3 linked regions of the Caenorhabditis elegans genome follow. The protein of the gene in region 2 purifies or fractionates together with the protein of the main gene of each other region. This does not show direct contact. Each region holds a gene or a part of one and is shown on either strand. Other genes may lie near its edges.

Region 1 (4,973 bases), on a different chromosome or scaffold from region 2:
TTGAGCGTATAGACCTTAAAATAGGTTTAAACGAACAAAATTACTGATGAAAATTCGAGAAAAATGGCCTAATCTAGCTAAAATCTCCATTTTCGGCAAGTTTTTAGTCCAACATTGGAGATTTTTAGCTAAAATTAGGCCACTTTTCTCGAATTTTCACCGCGAAATTCGCTATTTTACGATTATTCTATCAAAAAAATCACCTTATCCGTAGTGAGCCTGGCAAAATGCGCATTCTTCTCCTCCTGAGTCATTCGATGCGGCGGCGTCGGCTTCAGGATTCCTTTTGGAGGATCTTCTGGAGCAGCATCCGGCACATCTTCTGGAGCAGCAGCAGCAGCCGACTCCTCTGGCGGATCCTCTTCTGTCAACTGAGCTGGTAGCTGATCACTAGCCTTCGGAATCGGCGTCGAGTAGGTATCCGTCACCTTAACCTGGAATCTTCTCGGCTCCAGCACTGGCGTCTGATGTTCTTGTGGAACTCGTTCCGAAAGTCGGCGAGTCGGTGAGCGGAGCAAGTCCTCCTGAGCCATAGATGGTCTTGGCGCTCTGCTACTAGAAGCTCCTGGTCTCTGCTGAATCACAATCTTTTCCGCGGATCTTTGAGCTGCAGCAGCCGGAAATTGTGGAGCCGCCCGTTGCCGGTTCATCTGCTGAAGCTCCTGTCGTTGCTCCGGAGTCATTCTGTGAGGAGCCACGTCGACAACTCTGCGCGGTGGAGCAGCTGCTGCTGGAGCAACAGGATGCTCAAACTCTTGGGTATCCATCGGACGAGTAACATGGATCGGACGAGCACGATTATTGTTCGCCGCTCCTCCAATCATTCCAGGTCTAGCTTGTGGTGGAACACGACGCATCGGATTAGCTCCTCCAACTGGCACCGCATTCACGATATGCTGATAAGAGCCGGGTGTTGGAGCCGCCGGAGCCGGGACACGTTGCTGTAAGCTTCCACGTGCTCCAGCTTGATGGTACATCTGCTGTTGTTGCTCTCGAACTCTGTTGATCGCGTTGGCGGCCGGCGAGTTTCGTGGTGGAAGTTGCCCGCGCATTGGTAGACCATTTCCAAAATCGTTCATGACGCGATATTGCGGACCATCTCGGACGACGCTGAAAATTGAGATTTTTAGTGTTTTTAAAAGGCTTTTTCGGGCTTTTAAATGTGGAGTAGCGCCAGTGCGGAAATTGCTTTAAAACACGCCTATGGTACCACAATGACCGAATATCATGATAAAAAATTCAAAGAAATTTTCTAGATTTCAAATGATTTTTTTTGAAAATTGAAAAAATCTCAGTTTTCCCCTAATTCCTATTTGAATTTCCGCCAATTGGATTTGTTCGTTGGAGCGCGCTTGAACGTTTTTAAATTTATTTATTTTAAAATTTTTGTTATTTTCCACCGATTTTTAATGTTTTCCGTGTACTTTTGCTCGAATTTTAGAGAAAAAGCCAAGATAAATGCAAATTTTCGATTAAAAAGCACGCTTACAGGCGTAAAAATGAAAAAGTAACGCTTTTAAACGATTTCGAACCTGAATTAACTAATTGCATTCTAATTTCAGGCGTAAATCAGTGCAATTAATTAATTCAGGCTCGAAGTCGTTTAAAAGCGTTACTTTTCATTTTTACTCCTGTAATCGTGTTTTTTAATCGAAAATTTGCATTTATTTTGACTTTTTCTCTAAAATTCAAGCAAAAATACAACGAAAACTTTAAAAATCGGTGGAAAATAACAAAAAATTTAAAAAATAAATTTAAAAACGTGCAAGCGCGCTCCAACGAACAAATCCAATTGGCGGAAATTCAAATAGGAATTAGGGGAAAACTGAGATTTTTTCAATTCTCAAAAAATCATTTAAAATCTAGAAAATCTTTTTGAATTTTTTTTTATCAAGATATTCGGTCATTTTGACCACATAGGCGTGTTTTAAAGCAATTTTCCCACAGGGTGTAGTCCTTTTTCAGGCCTTTTCGGGCTTTTTCAGACTTCTAAGCCTTCTATACCCTCTCTGCTGCATTCTCGAATCCATTCCACCAATTCCACCATACTCCACTTGATTTCCACCGATCGAGAAAGGCTGCGCAGCAACCATCGGCCGATTTTGAATATTATGGCGCACGGGAAGCTGTTGCTGCTGGGGAGCCACTGACGTTGATGGAAGACCACCGCCCGTCTGCTGGTTTCGTCGGTACTGTGTTCCCGGGGATCCCGGGCCGACGGCGTCTTCGGGCATCCATTGCTTGACAATGTTGCAGTCTTCGTCCAGGCCGGCGATACATGGGAACGGGCCTTCTGTCGGGAGAATGATTCGGTCCGCGGGATCCGGCGGATCGTAGTTGTGGTCCTGAAATATACAGAAAATTAAGTTTTGCATTGCAAATATTGATTTAAAACTGGAAAATAGCCTCTAAAATCGAGATTTTTCCCTTACACTATACGGCAACCAGAAGTTCGCCCTCAAAATCGCCTCTTCCACATCAGTATCATCATCGGAATCGATCCAAACTGTGTCTTCAGTCGGTCGTTCGGCTGCCAACTGTTCTTCTTCTGTCAATGGACGAGAATCTGCTGCTGCTGCTGGTTCACCAAAATTATTCGCTCTCTGCTGTGGAGCAACGTAGTTTGGCGGATTGTAGGCCGCCGGTTGAAAGACTGGAATCTGAGGAATCTGCTGCGGCTCGGGGATTTGCGGTTCTTGGTAGAATTCCTGATTCTCCATTTGATGGTCAACTGGGTAATTGTCCGGAGCCTCGTGTGTCGCTTCAGAAGCTTGTGGATCCTCTGAGACTCCTTGAATGGGCTCTGAAAATTTTTTAAACTTAGATTTCGGGCCATTACACAGCAAAATCCTACCTTGAGCCATAACAATTGGCTCGGCGATCTCAGGTTGTTGTTGCTGTAGTGGTGGTTGCTCGAAGAGCTCCTCGTCGGCTGGAAGCGTATGCTCACCGTCTGCCATTTTTCCTTGTCTAGCGACGACGACTTTCTGGCATGCAATACTTGACGAACCTGAAAATTGACAAAATTAAGGTGAGAACAATCGATAAAATTAGAAAAACTATCGAATACGCCAGGAAAAAAATTAAAAGACATGAAAAACCAAAGAAAACGCAGGGAAAAATATCAAAAATCAATAATTTCCGCATGATTGTGGAGAGATGTTTGAAAAAATCGTAGCATGGTTTTATTACGCGTTTCTTCAGATTTTACCTATTTTTTCTATAAAACTAATCATTTCTAAGGTTTTTACATCAAAAAACTGATCAAAAACCTGTCGGAATATTTTTTTCCAGCCGATTTTTCAAAACATTCAAAACCATTTGAATTCTCTAATTTCTGAGGTTTCTGGTCATCAATAAGCAATTCCAACATGATAATTCCATCAAAAATGCTCAAAATTATTGAAAAACTCGAAAAAAAAGAAGAAAGTGGTGGGAAATTCGATGAGAAACGGTCAAAATTTGAACGTCGAGCCCTGTCGTAAATCGAAATCCAGTGACCGCAACGCAGACACGCCGCGTCGCGGTCGATTCTGGCATGATGCCAAGTCGGTCTCGGCGGGAAATACGCAATTGTCAGCGGTGTGTTTGCGGACTTGCACACCGTAGTCTCGTGGGAAAATTGTGAGATTTTTATTTTTTTTTTGCATAAAATCATTTTTAGAGCATTTTTACAGTATTTTCTTCAAAAAAAAACCTCAGTTTTCTATTTATATTGTGTAAATATTGTGTTTTACAGGTAAATATGAGCATAAATGCCGACGTTCTCCGCAATTTCACGGGAAGAACACTCAAATCTTGGAGCGGTTATCAATTGGCACTGGACAACTCGTGTGGCGGAGATGAGACCCGCGAGAAGGACAAGTGGTTTCTGGAGGTGCTCTGCGAGCAATTGACAACGACACGCGGTCTGAAAGCTGAAGAACTCGAGGAGTGGCTCACAAATATCCTGTATCACGATTTCGACCTGATTTTGGACGACGATTCGAGTTATCAAATCGCATTTTTCCTATTAGAAGGCTTCGGTTATATTAAAAACGAGAATGAGGCCGGGATTCAGCAGCTGCTTTCAAGTAGGATTTTTTTTTATTTTAGCAAATTTTTTTAAAAAATAAATCCTGTTTTTCCTACAGAACTCCCTTCCGACGAAGAATTAGAAAAAGCGAAACGAGAATCAGTGCGCGGACCTGAAAACGACGAAGATGACGAAGAAATGGACATTCCAGAGGACGAAGAGGAATCAGAAGAAGGCCCATCAGAGCCACGTGGTCCCCAGCGACAAGTTGTTGTAGACGATGATGGCTGGACGACAATCACCAAAAGACAATAAACTTTATTGATTTTTTTTTCAAAATATCTGAAAATTCTAAATAATCACGTTATTCTTGTTTTCCTGTTGATTTTACTCATTTTCCGCCTGTTTTTGCTTGTTTTTGCCCTGTTTTCTGTGTTTCTTTGTGCCTTTCTCATAAAAAATCCATAGTTTTTTGCAGCTTTATTTGACGAAAAGCGAGGAATTTTGGAAATTCTCCCAGAAATCTCCTGAAAGCCGATTTTTCAACGCAGATGCAAATTGCCACGTGGAATATTCGGGAAAACTCGGATTTTGGAAAAAAAACCACTAGTTTTTCAGATTTTTCAGGCCCCCAGGCAAGCTAAAACGCCATTTTTCATGGAATTCGACTATTTTGTCTTGTATAACAAAGAAAAATTCGCACGCGCATGCACGAACAAATTTAATTATTTTTCGTGTTTTGTTACCCCGCGGCGGAGGCGGCGGCGGTAAATAACTAGAAAAGATCAGAAATCGCCGAAAGTTCTCACATAGTTCACATTATTATTTTGCAACGAAAATATTTTATAAATATTCATTTTCTTCGAAAAAACCTGCAGGAATTGATAAAAAGCCCGAAAAGTGCGCTGGAATTCTGAAAAAAAAATGATTTTGCTTCAAAAAATCGAAAATTCCCTCC
Region 2 (5,684 bases):
CACAAGATTCGTAATCGGCGAGCTAGTCGCATGCACCTACAAGGGAAAAGTATATGACGCGGTCATCACCGACATCAAGCCCGACAAGGATGGAAAGGAGTGCTACTGCATTCACTTCAAAGGATGGAACAATCGTTACGATGAGCAAATTCCAATCGGCGAGGAGACAGACCGTATTTTTAAAGGGATAGCAGATGGTTACCGAGCTCCAGTTGTCACAATGCGCAAGGTACTGCTCAGAGAATATTGAAGCTTTAAATAATAAATTTTGCATTTTCAGTCCGCTAGAAACCATGAAAAATCCACAGAGCCTCAAGCGACGAAAGAGAACGCTCCGCGGCTAGTCGGAAAACGTAGAGAACAATTCATAATCGGTGAGCAAGTCACGTGCACACAGAACGGAAAGCCATATGACGCGTACATCGTTGACATCATAACCGACACTGATGGGAAGGATTTTTACTGCGTTCACTTCAAAGGATGGAACAGCCGTTACGATGAGAAAATTCCAGTCGGCGAGGAGCAGGGTCGATTGTTCAAGGGCTCGGCCGCGAAGTACGCAGAGATGCTCGAGATGAAGAAGTAGATGGGATCTGCTAATAAATTGTTAAATTGCTAAAATTTTGTGTTTGTTAATTGTTCTTTTCAAGCTATTTGTACAATGAATTCTTACCGAAATTGACAAGTTCATATTGTATAAAATGCTGGAAATATTAGCTTTTGACAGACAAGAAACAGGATAGATGGAGAGAGAAAGGGGCACCCATGAAAAGCGAAGAAAAGGGGAAATAAATTAGGCCAAGAAAACCAGATAAATTAAATAAATTATTGTTCGCTACGAATCAAGCGGTTGTACAAGTCGTCGACCTCCTTCTTCACAAGTGGCACGATGATCTCTCCATCGTTATCGATATAAGCTCCGATAGATTTCGTGATTTTTCCCTGTCCAGAGCGTCCTTCCTTCTTAAACTCGGCCGACAGCGTGTACTTATCGTCGTGAGCCTTGATCTCCGAGCTCCACGCCCATTTTCTCGATTGTTTTCCGTCGACTTCGGTGGCCTCGTAGATGCAGTCCTTCTCGACGTACCACTGATACATTTGAAGAATTCCCATGCATATGAAGTAGGAAACCGAGCACACGGCGAGCACGATTTTCGACTTTGGGAACGGCTCGTAGTAGTCGTAGCCGCAGGCGAACGCGGAGAACGCGACGCCGATGAATGAGATGAGAAGACGCAGATTCATTAGATTATGCGATTCCGTCCATCCGACTTTGTCGTTCAGAATCTGAAACGAAAGATTTTAATTTTAATTTTAATTTTGGAGTTTCGGAGAGCAAACCTTTTTGACGACTTCATCAAGGGCATTCTTCACTGTTGGACCGTCCCATTTGTTCACAACTTTCACCGGCTCGTCCGTCATCTGAAAATTAATATATTTGAGAATAAAAATTGAATAGAAATCCAAAAAAACCCAAAAGAAATGAGCAAAAAGCTAGTGGTGACGTCTCAAAATTGGAAGTCTGCATTATTGCGTCGTGGTGTTTGCGTACTTTTTCGTGCGCGGCGCTATTGCATTTGCTTAGAAAACCGCGCCGCAGGGGGGTTTGAATTGCGAAAATGCCGTTGAGCTTTGAGAAAAGCTTTTTTTTTGTTTTTATCGATAAATTTATCGAATTTTCGATATTTTTAATCTATTTTTTGATTAAAAATCGTTCAAATATACATCATTGGCTAGAATTGCTGCTAAAACTCGCTTAAAACACCAATTAATCGATTAATTTCTTTAATTCCTTCAGATGTCTTCAAAGAAGAACTTCGAAGTCGGCGAGAACGTCGCGTGCATCTACAAAGGCAAACCATACGATGCCAAAATTACTGATATCAAAACCAACAGCGATGGCAAGGAACTCTACTGCGTTCACTTCAAGGGCTGGAACAATCGATACGATGAGAAAATCCCAGTCGGCGAGGAGAAAGACCGCATTTTCAAGGGAACAGCCTCGGAGTATGCAGAGAAACACAACGCAGAGCTGCCAACAACTGCATTGAAGCCGAAGAAGAAAAGTCTTGCGGCTGAAGCACCACGAGACGATCGTGATGACACTCCGGGGACGTCGAAGGGAAAAAAGGCGAAATCGGTGACAATTGCGCCGGTTATGACCGCCGACGATATGAAGGTCGAGCTTCCGAAGCCACTGAGAAAGATCCTGATCGATGACTACGATCTTGTCTGCCGTTATTTCATAAACATCGTGCCACACGAGTATTCAGTTGATCAAATCATCGAGGACGTAAGCATAAAAAAAATTAAAATATCATTTTTTCCGATTTTCAAATCCAACATTTTCAGTACATCAAAACCATTCCGGTCAGTAATGAGCAAATGAGAACGGTCGATGATCTGCTCATCGAATACGAGGAAGCTGATATAAAAATCACGAATTTGGCTCTGATTTGCACCGCGCGTGGACTCGTCGACTATTTTAATGTCACTTTGGGGTTGGTTAATTCGAATATGTTAAACAGATGCATGCAAATTGCACGTAGCCCAATGTTTAGTACCACTGCAACTTTTTTCGAACGAGGGACGAGGAAAAGCGGTTTCTAGCCCATGGCCGAGGGGCCGACAAGTTTCAGCGGCCATTTATCTTGCTTTGTTTTCCGCGTGTTTTCTTTAATTTTTCATAGACTTTTCCCGTTTTTTTCTTATTAAAACTAAATAAAAGATAAATAAATATTTTTGCAGATGCCAAAACAATTTCCAAGTGAAAAAATTATGTATTCAGTCGGCAAGTAGCGGTGAAAGTGCTCAATGTTATATGATGGATTACGGGAATACTAAATCTAAACCTTTTCTGAAACATGGTATATATTCTGCTTAGAGACTGAAACTACCCGATTTTCATCATAACGAGACCGCTGAAAAAGATTTGAGATTTTCAAAATTCAACTTTTTGTGCAAAAATCTCAGAACTTTTTGAGCGGTCTCGTTATGAAAATCGAATAGTTTCAGTCTCTAAGCAGAATAAATGCCATGTTTCAGAAAAACGATTAGGTTTAGTATTACCGTAATCCATCATATAACATTGACCACTTTCACCGCTTCTTGCCGACTGAATACACAATTTTTTCACCTGGAAATTGTTTTGGCATCTACAAAAATATTTATTTATCTTTTATTTAGTTTTAATAAGAAAAAACGGAAAATTTTTTTGAAAAACAAAAGAAAACACGCGGAAAACAAAGCAAGATAAATTGCCGCTAAGTCTTGTCGGCCCCTCGGCCATGGCCTAGAAACCGCTTTTCCTCGTCCCTCGTTCGATAAAAGTAGCAGTGAGTACACATAATGCCCTCCGCTTCGTAGAATAGTCGCCCCAATCCCACTTGAAACAGTTACGATGTAAGGATGAATTGTTTAGTTCCAGCTACCAACTGCTCTATAAGTTCGAGCGGCCACAGTACAATGACCTTGTCAAAAAGCGAGCTATGGAGAAGGGAATCGACATCACAAACCCGACCGCCCTGCAGGATAGTGGATTCCGTCCATCTCAAGAGTACGGAATTGTGCATTTCTTGAGAATGCTCGCAAAGCTCCCGGACTACCTGAAGCTCACTCAATGGAATGATCATGTTATTAACGTATGTTCGAAGTTCAACTCCTGGAGCGTCTCCTGAATCTGGTTTCCACACGGAATCTGTTTTTTTTTGGCGAAAAGGTGTAAAATTTGGAAAAATTAGGCCGAAAATTGGATCGAAACCGTCAATTTTCTCGATTTCAGGATCATAAAAAATCCCATTTTGTAGGGAATAAGCAGATTCACAAAACATTGATTTTTAAAATTGAAAAATGGGGAAATTGCCTTGTTTAATTTTAAAAATCAATTTTTTTTTGTGAATCTGCGTTTTCTCCACAAAATTGAATATTTTACGATCCTGAAATCGAAAAACTGACGGTTTCGATCCAGTTTGAGGCCAAATTTCCAAAATTTACATTTTTTCAATGCGTATCATTTTTCTCAACATTAATATAAATAAAAAATAGCAAAAAAAAACGATTTTCCGTGAATTCAGGAGCCCGAAATTGCTTTAAAACACGCCTATGGGACCACAATGACAGAATATCATGATAAAAAATTCAAAAAAATTTTATAAATTTTATATGATTTTTTGAAAATTGGAAAAATCTCAGTTTTCACCTAATTATTTTTGAATTACCGTCAATTGGATTTGTTCGATGGAGCGAGCTTGCATTATTTTCATTAATTAATTTTATTTTTTCTCGTTATTTGACTGGTTTTCTTCATTTTCTATGTTTTTTCCTCGGAAAATGAAAGAAATAAATAGGACAAATGCGAAATGTTTGTTAAAAAGTAATTGAAAATGCGTAAAACTGTGATATTCTGAGTTCCGACAAGCCTGAGATTAGTATATTTCACAGTTTTACTCATTTTCAATTACTTTTTAACAAACATTTCGCATTTGTCCTTTTTAAAAGCATAGAAAATGAAGAAAACCAGCCAAATAACGAGAAAAAATAAAATTAATTAATGAAAATAATGCAAGCGCGCTCCATCGAACAAATCCAATTGACGGTAATTCAAAAATAATTAGGTGAAAACTGAGATTTTTTCAATTTTCGAAAAATCATATAAAATCTAGAAATTTTTTTTTGAATTTTTTTAATCATGATATTCGGTCATTGTGGTACCATAGGCGTGTTTTAAAGCAATTTCCCCACTGAGCGTAGTCCCATGCTCCAAAAATAAAATAAATCAATTTTCAGCGCATCATGATTGGAGTTCACGATTTGATTGTGTTCCTGAATAAGAATCACGGGAAGTACTACAGAGGATCGTCTGATTATCAAGGTGCCTCCAACGACTACTATCGCCGATCTCTCGCCGCCGACGACGGAGTTGGAGCGAATCAATAGACTGATCTCCTTCATCATGTGTTCCATCCCAGACGATCTTCAATACACCGATATAACTTCAATAATTTTATACATTGTTCATTATTTTCCAAAGCTAGCCCCACCATTATGTTTTTGTGAAATCGTGGAGATCCATATTTTGTTCACGTTAATCTCACGTTTTCTGACGACTTCCACATTTCGCATTCCATTATCGTTCAATTTTCCGTTTAGTTGTTTCCCAACTATTCTAATGAATATGATTCTCATTTTCTTTTCAATAGCCCCCCACATTCATATTTTTCCAGATTCTTCTTCTCTTCCAACTCCCCGCCATTTTTAGCCTATCGAGATTTGATATAATGTCTGCGTGCCCCCAAAACTATTCCATCTCGCATTCCACGTGCCAGACTGGAAAGAAGAGGAAGACTGAAGATTTTTTTGAATATTAGAATATACTTTTTTCTTCCGATTTTGAAGTTTCATGATTAAGATGGTTAAATATTGAGAATGCTTATTGAACAACATAACTGACCCGCAAAATATCTCGTAGCGAAAATTCTTGTCGATTTACGGGCTCGATTTTCGAATTGAATTTATTTTTAAATAGTGACAGCGATATTTAATTTTCTTCTATCACTATTCAAACAATTCAAAAATCCGGGTCCGTAAATCGACACTACAGTAGTCATATTACTGTAGTTTTTGCTACAAGATATTTTGCGCGTCGGATATGTTGTTCAATACGCATTCTCAAAAATTACAAGAAG
Region 3 (4,928 bases), on a different chromosome or scaffold from region 2:
CCCAGATAGCGACAACCAGGCACGGGAATGATGGGGGATCCGTTGAAAAAGACGTCTTGGCTCCGGCAAAACTTGTTCTTCAAAAGAACAGTCTTTGACTGATTGATCTTGAGTCCGTAAATTGAGCTTATTCGGTCCAAAATTTCCAGTCGTTCTTGAACTTCTTCCGGTGTGGAGCATATCAGGACTACGTCGTCCGCAAATTCCAGTCTTCTTATGTGTCTGCCTTCCACTTTGATGCCAACTCCCGCGAACTCATTGTCGCAATCCGTCAGAATAGCTTGGAGAGCAGCACTGAAGAGAGCTGGAGAAGCTGAGTCTCCTTGACGAACCCCGGTGCGGAGGTTGACTTTGAGCTTCTTATCGTGCACTGAGATCTCAGCTTGTCCTCCTTCCATCATTTCCTGAATCATCTTGCGCATGGCGGGATCGGCTCCTGCTTTCTCGAGACTGGAAACCACAGCCGAGTGGCCGATTTTGTCGAAAGCCGTCTGGTAGTCAATGAATAGGAGAAGGAGTGGGAGCTGGAATTCGTTGCACTTTTCGATAAGCATGGTGAGGCTTTGAATGTTGTCAGCACAGCATCTCCCTTTTCTAAAGCCGTTTTGACTTTCGTCCAGGTAGCTCTCCAAGGATGGTGTCAGCCTTCTGGTCAGAATGCTCGAGAACATTTTGCTCAGAATGGGGAGGAGCGAGATTGGTCGGAAGTCTTTGATCTTAGTGGCTTTGGCCTTTTTCGGTATCAGTTTGACATCCGATATTTTCCAAAGATCAGGGACCTTGTTGTGTTGGAGGATGTTGTTGAACAGAGCAGTTACTGAGTCCACTACAGTGTCCCCTCCATTTTTGAGCATCGCCGCATCCACCTTGTCGAGACCTGGAGCAGATTTGGTCTTGAGTTTCCTGATCTCCTGACGTACTTCGCACTTGAGAATGGCTGGGACGGGATCAAGACTCGGAGGATTAGGATTTTGTGGTTGACGTGGAGAGTTCGTGGGAGCCTCGTATAGTGATTTGAAGTGAGATTCGACGATTTTTCGGATTTCGATGCGGTTGGCCGTGAGAGATCCGTCAGGCCTTTCGAGATATTGCAAGGGGATTTCGGCAGGGATGGATTTCTTCAATATTTTTGAAGATCTTTTCTTCCGACAAGCTTCAAGAATCGAGTCGTACTTTTGAGTGAGGTCTTCTGTAATCGATCTTCTTGCCTCTTGAGACAATTTACGGAGCTTGGCAATATCTGGAGCGGAGGATTCAAGGACTGATCTCCTCTCTTGCAGAATCATGTTAGTCCTTTGGCTGAATTTTTGCGGTTTGAGGGCTTTTAAGTAACTCATTCTATCGTTAAAAGTCTCTCATTTCTACAAAATTTGTGTCAGGTGAAACATTTATCAAATAGACAAGTATTATACGGTTCGTCGAACGTTTTTGTGACTTTCATCCATCTATAGTTGTTCGCAAGTTAGTTTTTTCCACTCTAGCCGCCTCTCTTCTGCAAAAATCTATGTCACGTTTGCCCCCGAGTTATTTGTGCAAATGCGCCCCAACGACAAAATGTGTATAGTGACGTTCGCACCGCCGTCGTCGATTCCTCCACACCTCTACTCGTTTCTTCCCGCCAGATTTTATGTGATTCGTTGTTCTCTGTTGATTTCTGACTAATCGATAAGATCGAAGCTCTGTGAAAAACGAAAGTTAATATCAAATAATCATAATTAAATAGTGATGTTTTAAGCTCGTTTTTTAAGAAAAAAAAAAGTTTCTAAATTATTGATTTTCAAACGATCCGGAACTTTTTCACACAACACTTTATATTTAGGGACTTTCGTACTATTAAACAGATTTTGAACGCCCGTTTCCTATCGATTTTTTCATTTCGATTATTATTCCAGTCCAATTACACTTGCTCATAAGTTATTTTCAGAAATTGGGTAGAGCCACATTTAACCTTCTTTCGAATTCTTGGGAGAAACATTTTTTATAAGTATATGCTTCAATATTCGCTTCGCTTTTGATTGGGAAAAAGGTAAGTACGAATACACTGTGTATAAATATTTTTTTTTCTTAAGGAAAATGGACGGAATAGATCCGGAAACACTCCTCGAGTGGCTCCAAACGGGTATTGGCGATGAACGGGATCTTCAATTAATGGCTCTTGAACAACTATGCATGCTTCTTCTGATGGCTGACAATATTGATCGATGCTTCGAATCATGCCCACCACGAACATTTATTCCAGCACTATGCAAAATTTTCATCGATGAAACAGCACCTGATAATGTGCTCGAAGTAACTGCTCGCGCAATCACTTATTATCTGGACGTGTCAAATGAATGCACTCGTCGCATCACACAAGTCGACGGAGCCGTGAAGGCTATCTGCACACGTCTTGCCGCTGCAGACATTTCAGATAGATCAAGTAAAGATCTGGGTAAGTGTATTTTTCAGGCTGTCAAAATTATTTTTGAAATTTTCAGCTGAACAATGTGTCAAACTATTGGAACATGTGTGTCAACGTGAAACAATGGCAGTCTATGATGCAGGAGGAATAAATGCAATGCTCACTTTAGTTAGAGTACATGGAACACAAGTTCACAAAGACACGATGCATTCAGCAATGTCAGTAGTGACACGATTATGTGGTAAAATGGAACCAACTGATCCAGAATTGGGAAAATGTGCAGAAAGTCTTGGAGCTCTCCTTGAACATGAAGACCCGAAGGTTTGTATTTTATTTGTTACTAAAATTCCCACATTTTCATTTGCCTCACATAAAATCAGTCTGCTTCAGGTGTCGGAAAGTGCTCTCAGATGTTTCGCCGCGCTTACTGATCGCTTTGTTCGTAAAATGATGGATCCAGCAGAGCTAGCAATGCATAGCAATCTTGTCGAACATTTGATATCAATTATGGTTGCTTCAAACGACGAAAACTCTCCGACCACTGCTTCTGCCAATATTCTCTCAATTGTTCTTTCTTTGATTGGAAATTTGTGCCGAGGTTCCAGCCTTATTACAGAAAAAGTGCTCACATCGCCTAACATGATTACTGGCCTCAAAGCTACTCTTACAAACAAAGAAGAACGAGTGGTAACAGATGGTCTTCGATTTTGTGATCTTCTTTTAGTTCTTCTTTGTGAAGGACGTAGTGCTCTTCCCCTCACTTCAGTAGTATCAGGTGATTATGCAGCAGGTAGTGGAGCTGAACGTGTTCATAGACAATTGATTGACGCCATCAGACAGAAAGATTTGACTGCTTTGGTGGATGCCATCGAAAGTGGACAGGTAACATAGCTATATTTGATCACATAAAAATTTAAAAAAATTAAGGTTGATGTGAATTTTGCTGATGATGTTGGACAATCACTGACTAATTGGGCGTCTGCGTTTGGCTCGATCGAAATGGTACAGTATTTGTGTGATAAGGGGTCCGATGTCAATAAGGGGCACAAGAGCAGTTCTTTGCACTATGCTGCTTGTTTTGGACGGCCGGATGTGAGTTGCGACGCGAATGTCTTTCGTGTGATACGTGCACTCGCTCATTTTTATTACAATACATACTTGCTTCAGTAGGAAAATGTTATGAGCTGTTATTGCACACTCACACGTTAGATAATCATATTGTAGTCGTGACTTGTTTTCCCGGAGTGAGCATTGTTTATCTCAGGTTGTGAAATTGCTGCTTCAGCGTGGCGCCAATCCTGATCTACGAGACGAAGATGGCAAGACAGCTTTGGACAAGGCACGAGAAAGATCTGATGATGATCACAATCAAGTCGCCAACATTCTTGAATCGCCTAGCGCATTCATGAGAAATAGTAAGTCTACATTGTTCTGGTCTTCAACAAATACTTTTCTTTCAGAAGAAGATCCGAAGGTGAAAGCATCAACGTCGAAACAGCCAGGTACTTCAACGAAACCTGAGCTTCCAAATCCAAACCTTGTTCGCAAAGTTTTGCATCAACTTCTTCCAATATTCTGTGAGATATTCCAAAAGTCTCTCAACGGAAGTGTTCGTCGCACATCACTGTCTCTGATGCGAAAAATTGTGGAAAACATTGGAGATCTTCGTCAAAGCGCCGTGGGAGATGGCAATGCTCCAGCTGCACAGTCCGCACGAAAAATGTCTACAGATGTGTCTGCTGGTGCTGAATCTTTGGTAGCTGTTGTCGTTTCTGTAATGGATCAAGAAGATGATCATGAGGGTCACGAACAAGTGCTTCTTATTCTGGAATCTCTTTTGGAAAAAGATGCCGAACTCTGGGTTATTGAATTGGTGCGACTTGGTGTGTTTGAACGTGTCGAGGCGATGGCAAAAGAGCCACCAAAGGGATTGGAGGAAGTTTTGAATGCAATTCATTTGGAGGGAAGATCTAGAGTTACACCCATGGAAATTGACTTTGAGAATCAACCCTCGTCATCAACAGCTGTTCCTACGGCGAACGACATCATGGATACCACTGTTCCATCTTCTTCTGGTGGAGCCGACGCTGAATCAAACTCGAATCCTTCTACAATTGAGGTGTGGTTTTTACAACTTGATAGTTTCCTTTTCTATTTAACAGTTTGAGTAAGAATTTTTCGGAATTTCACTTTTCAGATGGCTGATCCAGAATCATCAACTCCTTCGTCATCCACACAGCAATCTATTTCTAAACCAAAAGCAACAGCCAGTTCAACAGCATCTTCAGCTATTCTTCAAGTGGTATCCAAATTGAGTAGTGTTGCCAGTCTCGATAAATCAGCTGCCGCAGTTGATAAGAAACCAACAAAGACAGTATTGAGCCAGGGAACACCTTATCGTTGGAAAGAATGGCGTATCGTACGCGGAACCACATCTCTATTCATCTGGAGTGATGTCCTGCTCATTGAGTTACCATTCCAATCTAATGGATGGTTCCGTTATTTAGCCGATAATGACTCACATGTA

Evidence for each region.
Region 1: the proteins of mrg-1 (region 2) and set-26 purify together in Caenorhabditis elegans (affinity purification with mass spectrometry, with the first as the bait; 2 studies listed by BioGRID). This does not show direct contact.
Region 3: the proteins of mrg-1 (region 2) and hecd-1 purify together in Caenorhabditis elegans (affinity purification with mass spectrometry, with the first as the bait; 2 studies listed by BioGRID). This does not show direct contact.

Annotation. Positions count from the first base shown.
Region 1 is NC_003282.8:16,652,874-16,657,846, forward strand, and holds the start of set-26 (Histone-lysine N-methyltransferase set-26), read right to left. Parts: upstream 3,011-4,973; 5' UTR 2,961-3,010; coding exon 2,855-2,960; intron 2,804-2,854; coding exon 2,433-2,803; intron 2,346-2,432; coding exon 2,005-2,345; intron 1,111-2,004; coding exon 204-1,110; intron 1-203. Other genes in the region: tsr-2 (Pre-rRNA-processing protein TSR2 homolog), read left to right, coding at 3,746-4,073, 4,134-4,330. UniProt on the Caenorhabditis elegans protein: Histone methyltransferase that mediates trimethylation of 'Lys-9' of histone H3 in vitro. Involved in transcriptional regulation. Plays a role in the negative regulation of lifespan and in heat resistance.
Region 2 is NC_003281.10:12,870,769-12,876,452, reverse strand, and holds mrg-1 (Mortality factor related protein 1), read left to right. Parts: upstream 1-1,798; coding exon 1,799-2,293; intron 2,294-2,352; coding exon 2,353-2,501; intron 2,502-3,421; coding exon 3,422-3,641; intron 3,642-4,785; coding exon 4,786-4,935; 3' UTR 4,936-5,179; downstream 5,180-5,684. Other genes in the region: cec-7 (Chromo domain-containing protein), read left to right, coding at 1-229, 281-586; spcs-2 (Signal peptidase complex subunit 2), read right to left, coding at 826-1,287, 1,342-1,422. UniProt on the Caenorhabditis elegans protein: Protein involved in the remodeling of chromatin thereby regulating various processes including transcription, chromosome synapsis and genome integrity.
Region 3 is NC_003282.8:7,141,710-7,146,637, reverse strand, and holds the start of hecd-1 (E3 ubiquitin-protein ligase), read left to right. Parts: upstream 1-1,918; 5' UTR 1,919-2,026; intron 2,027-2,069; 5' UTR 2,070-2,073; coding exon 2,074-2,431; intron 2,432-2,477; coding exon 2,478-2,722; intron 2,723-2,791; coding exon 2,792-3,283; intron 3,284-3,328; coding exon 3,329-3,493; intron 3,494-3,665; coding exon 3,666-3,816; intron 3,817-3,861; coding exon 3,862-4,520; intron 4,521-4,598; coding exon 4,599-4,928. UniProt on the Caenorhabditis elegans protein: E3 ubiquitin-protein ligase which accepts ubiquitin from an E2 ubiquitin-conjugating enzyme in the form of a thioester and then directly transfers the ubiquitin to targeted substrates.